2 linked regions of the Macaca mulatta genome follow. The protein of the gene in region 1 binds, or shares a complex with, the protein of each later gene. Links are inferred from orthologs where the notes say so. Each region holds a gene or a part of one and is shown in the gene's direction. Other genes may lie near its edges. The genes, in order: PAK1 and DCP1A.

The links.
Region 2: PAK1 (region 1) and DCP1A share a complex: the UniProt entries of both Homo sapiens proteins name them as parts of the cytoplasmic complex. The link is inferred for Macaca mulatta from reciprocal best matches to the Homo sapiens genes PAK1 and DCP1A.

What each region holds. Positions count from the first base shown.
Region 1 is NC_133419.1:77,888,397-77,892,976, reverse strand, and holds the start of PAK1 (serine/threonine-protein kinase PAK 1), read left to right. Parts: upstream 1-1,613; 5' UTR 1,614-1,670; intron 1,671-1,738; exon of another isoform or gene 1,739-2,236; 5' UTR 2,237-2,399; exon of another isoform or gene 2,400-2,542; intron 2,543-4,580. UniProt on the Homo sapiens protein: Protein kinase involved in intracellular signaling pathways downstream of integrins and receptor-type kinases that plays an important role in cytoskeleton dynamics, in cell adhesion, migration, proliferation, apoptosis, mitosis, and in vesicle-mediated transport processes.
Region 2 is NC_133407.1:116,924,836-116,928,646, reverse strand, and holds part of DCP1A (mRNA-decapping enzyme 1A), read left to right. Parts: intron 1-2,503; exon of another isoform or gene 2,504-2,523; coding exon of another isoform or gene 2,524-2,564; coding exon 2,565-2,692; intron 2,693-3,811. UniProt on the Homo sapiens protein: Necessary for the degradation of mRNAs, both in normal mRNA turnover and in nonsense-mediated mRNA decay. Removes the 7-methyl guanine cap structure from mRNA molecules, yielding a 5'-phosphorylated mRNA fragment and 7m-GDP.

The sequences.
Region 1 (4,580 bases):
TGGTACAACCATTTTGGGAAACAGTTTGGCAATTTATTATAAAGTGAAATACAGCAAGTCATTGAATAATGTTATTTTGTTACAATGTTGATGAGAAAAAAACCAAACAACTTCTTGGCCTGGGTCACCAGTGTAGTTTGGACTCTGTTTTCTCTGTGTACTCTGGTTTCCTCCCACATCCCAAAGATGTGCACATTTTTTGTCTTTTTTGTTTTGTTTTGTTTTTTCCTTTTTGTGGAGAATGGGGTCTCGTTATATTACCCAGGCAGGTGTCGAACTCCTGGGCTCAAGCAATCCTCCCGCCTCTGCCTCCCTGAGAGCTGGGATTACAGGCGTGAGCCACCGCGCCTGGCCAGATGTGCACATTAAGTTAACTGGCATATTTCAATTGTCCTGGTCTGAGTGAGTGTTGGTGTGCATGTGAGTGCACCCTGGAATAGTGTAGCATTCTATACATGGTTGGTTCCTGCCTTGCACCTTGAGCTGCTGGGATAGGCTCTAGCCACTCTCAACCCTGAACTGGAAAAATTGGGTAAATAATGATCTTGTTTATTTTGAGACACTTATCTTACTTATTTATTCCACTCACTCTGTTTATTCCACTCACTCTGTTTCCTGGCCTGGAGTGCAGTGGCATGATCACAGCTCACTTCAACCTCGACCTCCTCAGCTTAAGTGATCTTCTGCCTTGGTCTCCCAAATTGCTGGGATTACAGGCATGAATCACTGTGCCCAGGCTTTTGTTTTTTGTTTTGTTTTTGAAACAAGGTCTCACTCTGTCGCCCAGACTGAAGTGCAAAGACGTGTGGTCATGGCTTACTGTAGCCTTGACCTCCCGGGCTTAAGTGATCCTCCCACCTTAGCCTCCTGGGTAGCTGGGACTACAGGTGTGTGCTGCCATGCCTGGCTAATGTTTTGTATTTGGGTTTTATTTTTCTGTAGAGATGGGGTTTTGTCATGTTACCTTGGCTGGTCTCAAACTCCTAGGCTCAAGCGATCTGCCCACTTTGGCCTCCCAAAGTGCTGGGATTACAGGCGTGAGCCAAGGCACCTGGTCTGGCCTCTTTTTATTAATCTTTCTTAAATGTATGTATAAGTCACATTGATGTCAATGTTTGATATTAGAGGTGTTTTGTTCTTTAGAAGTTTGGTGATGTCTTGTGACCAGAAATATGCCACAGGAACTTAACTCTTGTTTATATCAATTCACAATCCTATATCAGTTCACAGTAGTTCAAACTTCTCCGTTATAATTTCTTTGTCTTCCTCCCATCCCCGTCCCCTCTCCCACCTCCCACACAAAGAAAACATAATACACGTCTGGCTCTGCGATCACACAACGTCGGAGAGTTTTCAACTTCAGCCCTTGACAACGAGTTTATAGATGCGGTGGTGCTTCGTTAACCTGAAGAGGATCCTCAGCCACGGAAGTTAGCCGTCTTTCTCCATCCTGGCTACACCATTAGCCCTCCCAGAAATAGTCCCAAAATTGTCTGGTAGAAATGCTGCACGGAAACTGCCGGCCAAGGACAGCGGACCGAGAAGAGTGACGCGACGCGATGACGTCACGCAGCAGCCGGGTGATTCCCCAGCCTCTGGCGTCACGCGCCGATGACGCAATCCCAGGCGTTCGCCCTTCTGCAGGCCAGGGTTTGGCCTCGCTCCTACGGGTCGGTCAGGCGCTCCCCGCCCCCTCCCACCTGCGGGAGGCGGGGCGGGCACGGCTCCGCCGGAGCCACCGCCGCGCCGGGGAGGGGGAAAGGCCGGGGGGGAGGGAAGGGGGAAAGGGCGGGGGTAAGGGGGAAGAAGGAGGAGGAGGGGAGCCAGTGAACTAGGCGGTCAGGCCCGCCGAGCGGCGTACAATAGCGCAGTTGTAGGCGGGGGAGGCGGCCCTGCCGCGGCTGCAGCCGGAGCCGAAGGTGGCGGCTGCACAGTAGACGCCCCCTCACGGCTTCCCCCACACGCTCCCGCCCCCTCGTTCGCCTATTGCGCCTCCCTCGCAGGCTCCGCCGTCCTCCTCCATAGACGCTTTCCCCCTCGGACTCTTATTCCCTTTTTCACGGAGCCCCGCGCTCTCGTGAGCCCCCTCGAAGAACCTGGTCTCCGCATCCAGTTCCCATCTCCTGCCTCAGAGGCCATCCGAGCTCTTCGCACCTCGCCCCTCAGCCCCCCACCGTTGCCCCCGCCCCGCGTCGCCTCGCTCCCTGCCGCCCCCCCATCATCCCTTCCCTCGCAGTTCCCCTGTCCTGAGGGGATCCCCGGCACTGGCGGCGCGGCGGCGGCAGGAGGGAGAAAGTGAAGCGGTAGCTCGCACACACTCGCGCCCTCACTCCCGGCTCGGCGGCACCCACCATCGGGAGGAGGAGGAGGAGCCGAGAGGAGCTGAGCGAGCGCGGAAGGTGAGAGCGGGCCTCCCGCCCGGTACCCCTCGCGTCCCGGGCTGCCAGGGTTGGGGCGCGGGGGTGCGGACGGGTGGAGTAGGGGTCTGGGCCCATTTATCTCGCGTGGCGGGGCCGGGCGCTTGGGCCGGCGGAGGCTCCAGGTAAGGTGAGGCGGGCGTCGCCCAGCGAGGCCCGCTCCCGTCGGGCCAACAAAGGCCCCCCGTGCGCTCACCGGCGGGGTCGCGGGTCTCAGACGCCGGGCGATCGAGAGACCCGGGAGAGGGAAGGGGCGGGGCGGGGCCAGGCCAGGCTGGGGCCGGGAGCCCCCACGGGTACCGGTCCGGGACCGAGTCCCTTCCGAACTTTGCAGTCCTGCAGAGCTCACCCTGTCCCACTACGAGGAGGCACAGCAAAGCGGCGCCCCAGTTCCTTCTGCATGGAATAAATGACCCCTTCTAGGCTTGGACAGTCACCTTTAGGGTTTTACTCCCTGAAAAATAAGGGCTGGTAGGACTTGACTTACGCAGCCCCTCCCCCACCGCGGAATATTCTGTAACTTGGGAAGTGAAAAACAACCGGGAAAGGAGATTTATAGTTATTTTATGTTCATTAATCCATTTGAAAAGACATGATTGTTGTAGTCTTCGCTATCCTATTTCAACAATACACATTACTGGGAATGTTTTGGAAGAATACTTGAGAAGTAGTGGGTTGTGAGCAACGTCCTTGGTTTTTAAACCCCTTGGATAATTGTTCTACTCTTAACAAAAACTGAACAGTGAAGGGAAGGGTTAGTTCTGTGGTTACTAATAAAAATTCAATTCGTTAGTCTTGACTTTAAGAATTGTTCTTGAGAAAAATCTTTAATTTTGCCTCCTACATTTGTGGGTTCTCTTTCAACTCTGTCAGGAGAAAGTAGGAATTATCAGTACAGATACCTCATCTCTTACCTTGTGGCTTCATCTACTTCTTGTGTGACCTTGAGCAGGTCACTTCCAGCCTTAAAAGCTCCAGAAGTTTGGTTTTATGCCCCAAAACGGGCAGGTAGCAAGCACCAACTCAGCTTTCAAGAGTCCACTGAAGAATTCCCACACTGTGAAATCTTTGCTGGCCTCCATCCTGTCCCTCCTCTCAGACAGAACTGACTTTTTCCCATTGGCCCGGTGAGATTTCTACCACAGCACTTACAACATTTTGGTTCCTATTTGGAAAATTCTAAATCACGTGCGTAGAACCCCCCCCCCCCCAACTAGCAACTATGCCTTTCAAAAAGGGTTTTGGGAACATTGACGCTGAAAACTTCCCATACTTTCCCTGAAGTTTATCCATACGCTTAACTACATGAACTCATGTGTCTGCCTTGGTGAATTTGCTAATTCAGTCAATTCATTTATCCAACATTACTGGAGTTTGGAGAGCTACTATGTTTCAGGCCTCTTGCTAAGGCTATGGGGATTCAGTCTATTAAGATATTCCCTGTCTTCAAAGAGCTCAAAGTCTAATGGGTGAGGTAGACAAGTAAACAATGAAGGTCTGCCCTAATCTCTGGGGGACTCCAGTTGTACAGGTAGTAGTGTGCAATAATTGAGGCTGCTGGACCTGTTTTACAAGTCTTCTCTTGGCCAAAGTGAGTCCTGCAGGGAAGGTGACCTGCCTCATCCATAAGAGGGCATTTGGTAAAAAGCTTGTTCAGTTCAATTCAATATACATTTACTAAGCGCATGTTTTGAGTCCCTGTGCTAGGTTTGAAGGAAGCAGTGCCTCAAAGGAAGGTACTGTGCATCCAGAAAGATTTCCGTGAAACAAAACCTTACCACATCAATGCCCCCTACCCCTGACTCTTCATATTCTGAAGATAAATTTCAGACTAACATGGAATAAGAAACTCTCAGGCATCAGACCACTGCCTGCCTTTGCAGCCTCACTTTCTGTGGCTCCCCTGCCACTCTCATCTTCGCTTTTGCATGTTCTGTTTTCTTCCTGGATGCTTCCCTTCCACCCTTTACCTGCCTGTGGAGGTGTCCTTGTTGGGCCTTTGCGATGCAGTCCCTTAGTCTTTCCTTTTCCTGCGTAGAATGAGTTGCTCTTCCATCCTCTGGCTCATACACATACCACTCTTATGGTCTTCTATAGCACTCTATTGTAATTACTTGAGCTTGTGCCTTTTTTCGGTAGCCTGTGAATTTCTTTAATAAGCCC
Region 2 (3,811 bases), on another chromosome or scaffold:
AAACGGTTCAATTCTGTTGTACATTTGTCTTTGGAACCTTCCTGCTAGTCCCCTTCAAGTTTTCATCTTTCCCTAGCTGTGAAATCTTAACCAGGTTCTTTCTTTTCTCTGAGCCTTTCTGTGATTCAGAATAAACTGAACTAGAATTTATATTAAAAGTCTAGCAAAGCAATTTCAAAATAATAATGATTGAGTCTAAAACAGATACCTGCCTCTCTCTCCCTACCCCCATATTAGAAAGAAAAAAAAAAAGATATATATTTGGGGAAAAGATAATACATAGACTAGCTCTGTAAAATAATGTTTTTCATTACCTCTGTTGTTTTATTACTGCATGGGTGGTTGTCTTTTATGACTGGTTCTGTCCTCTTTCCCAACCCCCAGAAGTTCTAGATTTTGTACAGTGTCTTGTTTGAGAGTTCTTTAGAAAGCTTGGATTATGCATAATGGCATATTTTTTATTTTTAACTTATTCAAAAATTCATTATGTTTAAGATTGGTTTGCAAATTGCAACTGTTTTGTTAGGCAGCTTCTGGGGCCTAAAGACAACTGACAGTATATGATAGTCATGGGGTGCTTGTTTTCCTGGATTCCTCTAAGGTCTTACTCTGACAAGGACAGGTTCCTTCCCTTGTTTTCTAAAGCTTGAGTCAGCAGGAGTTATTACTGATATCTGGTCTTCTCCCTTTTTTTTTGCATTGAGTTGCTTTTTAAGGATTGCCTTTCTCCATTGATGCCAATTTAAAATAATTTGTCAAATACTCTTCCAAATTTTGATACAAAGCCTTGAGATCTTATCTAAATGCACTCCATTTTTTTTCTTCTTTTAAGTGTAATTCTTTGATATTTGTACACCAAGCTCTTCTTTCTTAGACACTTTGTTTGTTCGCTGCTATTCATCTTTCTTCTTTTAAAAAGAAAGGGATCGGCCAGACGCAGTGGCTCACGCCTGTAATCCCAGCACTTTGGGAGGCCAAGGCAGGTGGTTCACGAGGTCAGGAGATAGAGACCATCCTAGCTAACACGGTGAAACCCCATCTCTACTAAAAATACAAAAAAATTAGCTGGGCGTGATGGTGGGTGCCTATAGTCCCAGCTACTCGGGAGGCTGAGGCAGGAGAATAGCGTGAACCCAGGAGGTAGAGCTTACAGTGAGCCGAGGTCAAACCATTGCACTCCAGCCTGGGCGACAGAGCGAGACTCTCATAAAATAAATAAACAGATAAATAAATAGGAAGGGATCTTTACCCTCACTCCCTTCATTACTCTTCATTAGCAGTATAAATCTCTAGAAACTCTGTTATTAGAACCTTAGTTTCTATGATATTTGGAAAAGGTACTTTACTGGGTTTATTGTTATCATACAGAGGCACTGATTATAGAAAGTAGGAGATTTAGTGTAGTGGTGGCTGGATTTAATACAATTCACGGAGTCTAATATGGTACTGATTCTAATTAAATGAGACGCAAGAAACTGTGTTTGGAAAATGTGAGACTATTTTGTGTACCTTGGATAAAGGTATACCAGGATGTCAGACTATCACTTTGCAGAGATTACTTCGTATAGTAGAAGCTTGGATTTGGAGTCAAAAAACCTGAAACTGAATCCGAATTACATTATTTGTAACTCATTATTTGTGTGACCTCAGGCACAGTCCTTAATCATTCAAAGCTTGTCTTCTAGTCTGTAGAATAGTGTTAACACCCCATATATATCGTAGAGAAACAAACGAAAAACTATGAAATGTTAGGTACATGTGAAGAGTAAGGGATCATATACCGAATCCCTCTGATACGGGAACCAAGGATGTTTCCTATTGTAGGATTCAAGGCATTTTCTGTCTAACTCAGGAGCACTATGTAAAGATCTGTTTGGTGCAAGAAAAACCATTATTGTAATGATGGGCAGCCATTATAGCCAATCCAATGGAATGATATTTCATTCAGCAACTGTGTGTCTATATTGGGATGTATGTGTGAAAAAAGTAAGACAAAAGCTCCATTTGCATGGGGCTTACATCCTAGTGGGGGCAGGACAATTAATATTAAAAATAAGTAGTATGGATAAAAGAGAAAGGTTAGAGGTATTGAGCTTGGGAACATTAAAAAGGGTAGTTCAAGTAGGCCTCATGAAAAAGGTGACATCTGAACAAAGGCTTGCAGGAGATGAGATAGCTGTGCAGCTTCTGGGGCAGTAATCCAGGAAGAGGTCTTTAGGTAGAAGCACACATGCAGAGAGAGTGGCAAGGAGCCCAGTGTGGCTGGAGAGGAGGAGGTGGGGAAGAGCCATAGGAAATGAAGTCAGAGGGGGAATACATCAGGTGGGGCCTTGGTGGCCTCAGTAAGGACTTTGACCTTTACTCTGAGAGACTGTCTTTGGAGACTTCTCATCAGAGGAAGAATATAATCCGACTTAAATGTTTTGTTTACAGGTGTAAGTGCTTGATAATATTGTATGTTCTAACGTATTCTTTTCTGAAATGAAAATAAAGCACATAGTAGATAACATTTCTACAGATTAAATGGTAACTGCATATTTTTTTTTCCTTCTATTAAATCTAAGGTCAGCTTCCCCTTACCATGGTTTTACCATTGTGAATCGACTAAATATGCACAATCTAGTTGAACCAGTGAATAAAGATTTGGAATTTCAGCTCCATGAACCATTTCTTCTGTATAGAAATGCAAGCTGTGAGTATATCTGTTTTATTATAGTTATTACATTTAAAATCGAGTGACTTTAGTTTCTATCAATCCATTATTTAGTAAGTTTCAAATTACAAAACAAAATATGGCCTATACTTTATGATTATAAATGAGTCTGTTAGAAAGATCAGACGTTTTAAACTGGGCTCTGAGACCAGACGTGGTGGCTCACGCCTGTAATCCCAATACTTTGGGAGACCGAGGAGGGCGGATTACCTGAGGTCAGGAGTTCGAGACCGCCCAGGCCAACATGATGAAACCCCATCTCTACTAAAAATACAGAAAAAAATTAGCCGGACTTGGTGGTGGGCACCTGTAATCACTTGAACCTGGCAGGTAGAGGTTGCAGCGAGCCGAGATCGCGCCATTGCACTCCAGCCTGGGCAACAGAGTGAGACTCTGTCTCAAAAAAATAAATAAATATACTGGGGTCTGAAACTAGAAACATTCTTTTGTATATAATTTTGTTTACTATTTCGTTTACTAGCACTACATTTATGTTGTTGGTTTATTAAAATAAGGTTTATGCCTTTGTTTTTTTGCAGCTGTGGACTATCAGCTGCCCACATCCCTGAGCAACAGAACTTAGTTTGGGACACACAGGATGGGAGCAGATACAGATAATTCTTTCCACAAAGAAAGTATTATTTTTGCCCAGAATAGTGGTGGTGGGGTTTTTTTAAAAGATATTTATTACTTTTTCTACTTTATTTTGTCTGAATATGTTTCTAAGTAGGGTTTTTCTATCTGTTTATTTAATTGAGTGTCTGCTGGTTACCAGCACTGAGCCAAGAGCTATGGTGCTTTAATGTTTGTAACCTATGTGCTATAGGGAGGCAGTTAAGGCAACTAAGACTCAGAGATGCAAAACTATTACTCTGTTGGAGAGTTAGGATTATAACTCTTCTGCTTTTTAGTCCAGGGTTCTTTCAGGCATTTTTACAGCCTCTAATGATAATTGGATGCAGTCAGCAAAGCTAGATTGGCCCTTCCAAGAAACTACAGTACTAAAAAGTGTACTTGATTCCAGTGTGTTGGTATGGATATTGAAGGTATGGGTGTTTGAGGACAGTTTGTTCTACATTGACTATAGGGGGTATCAAA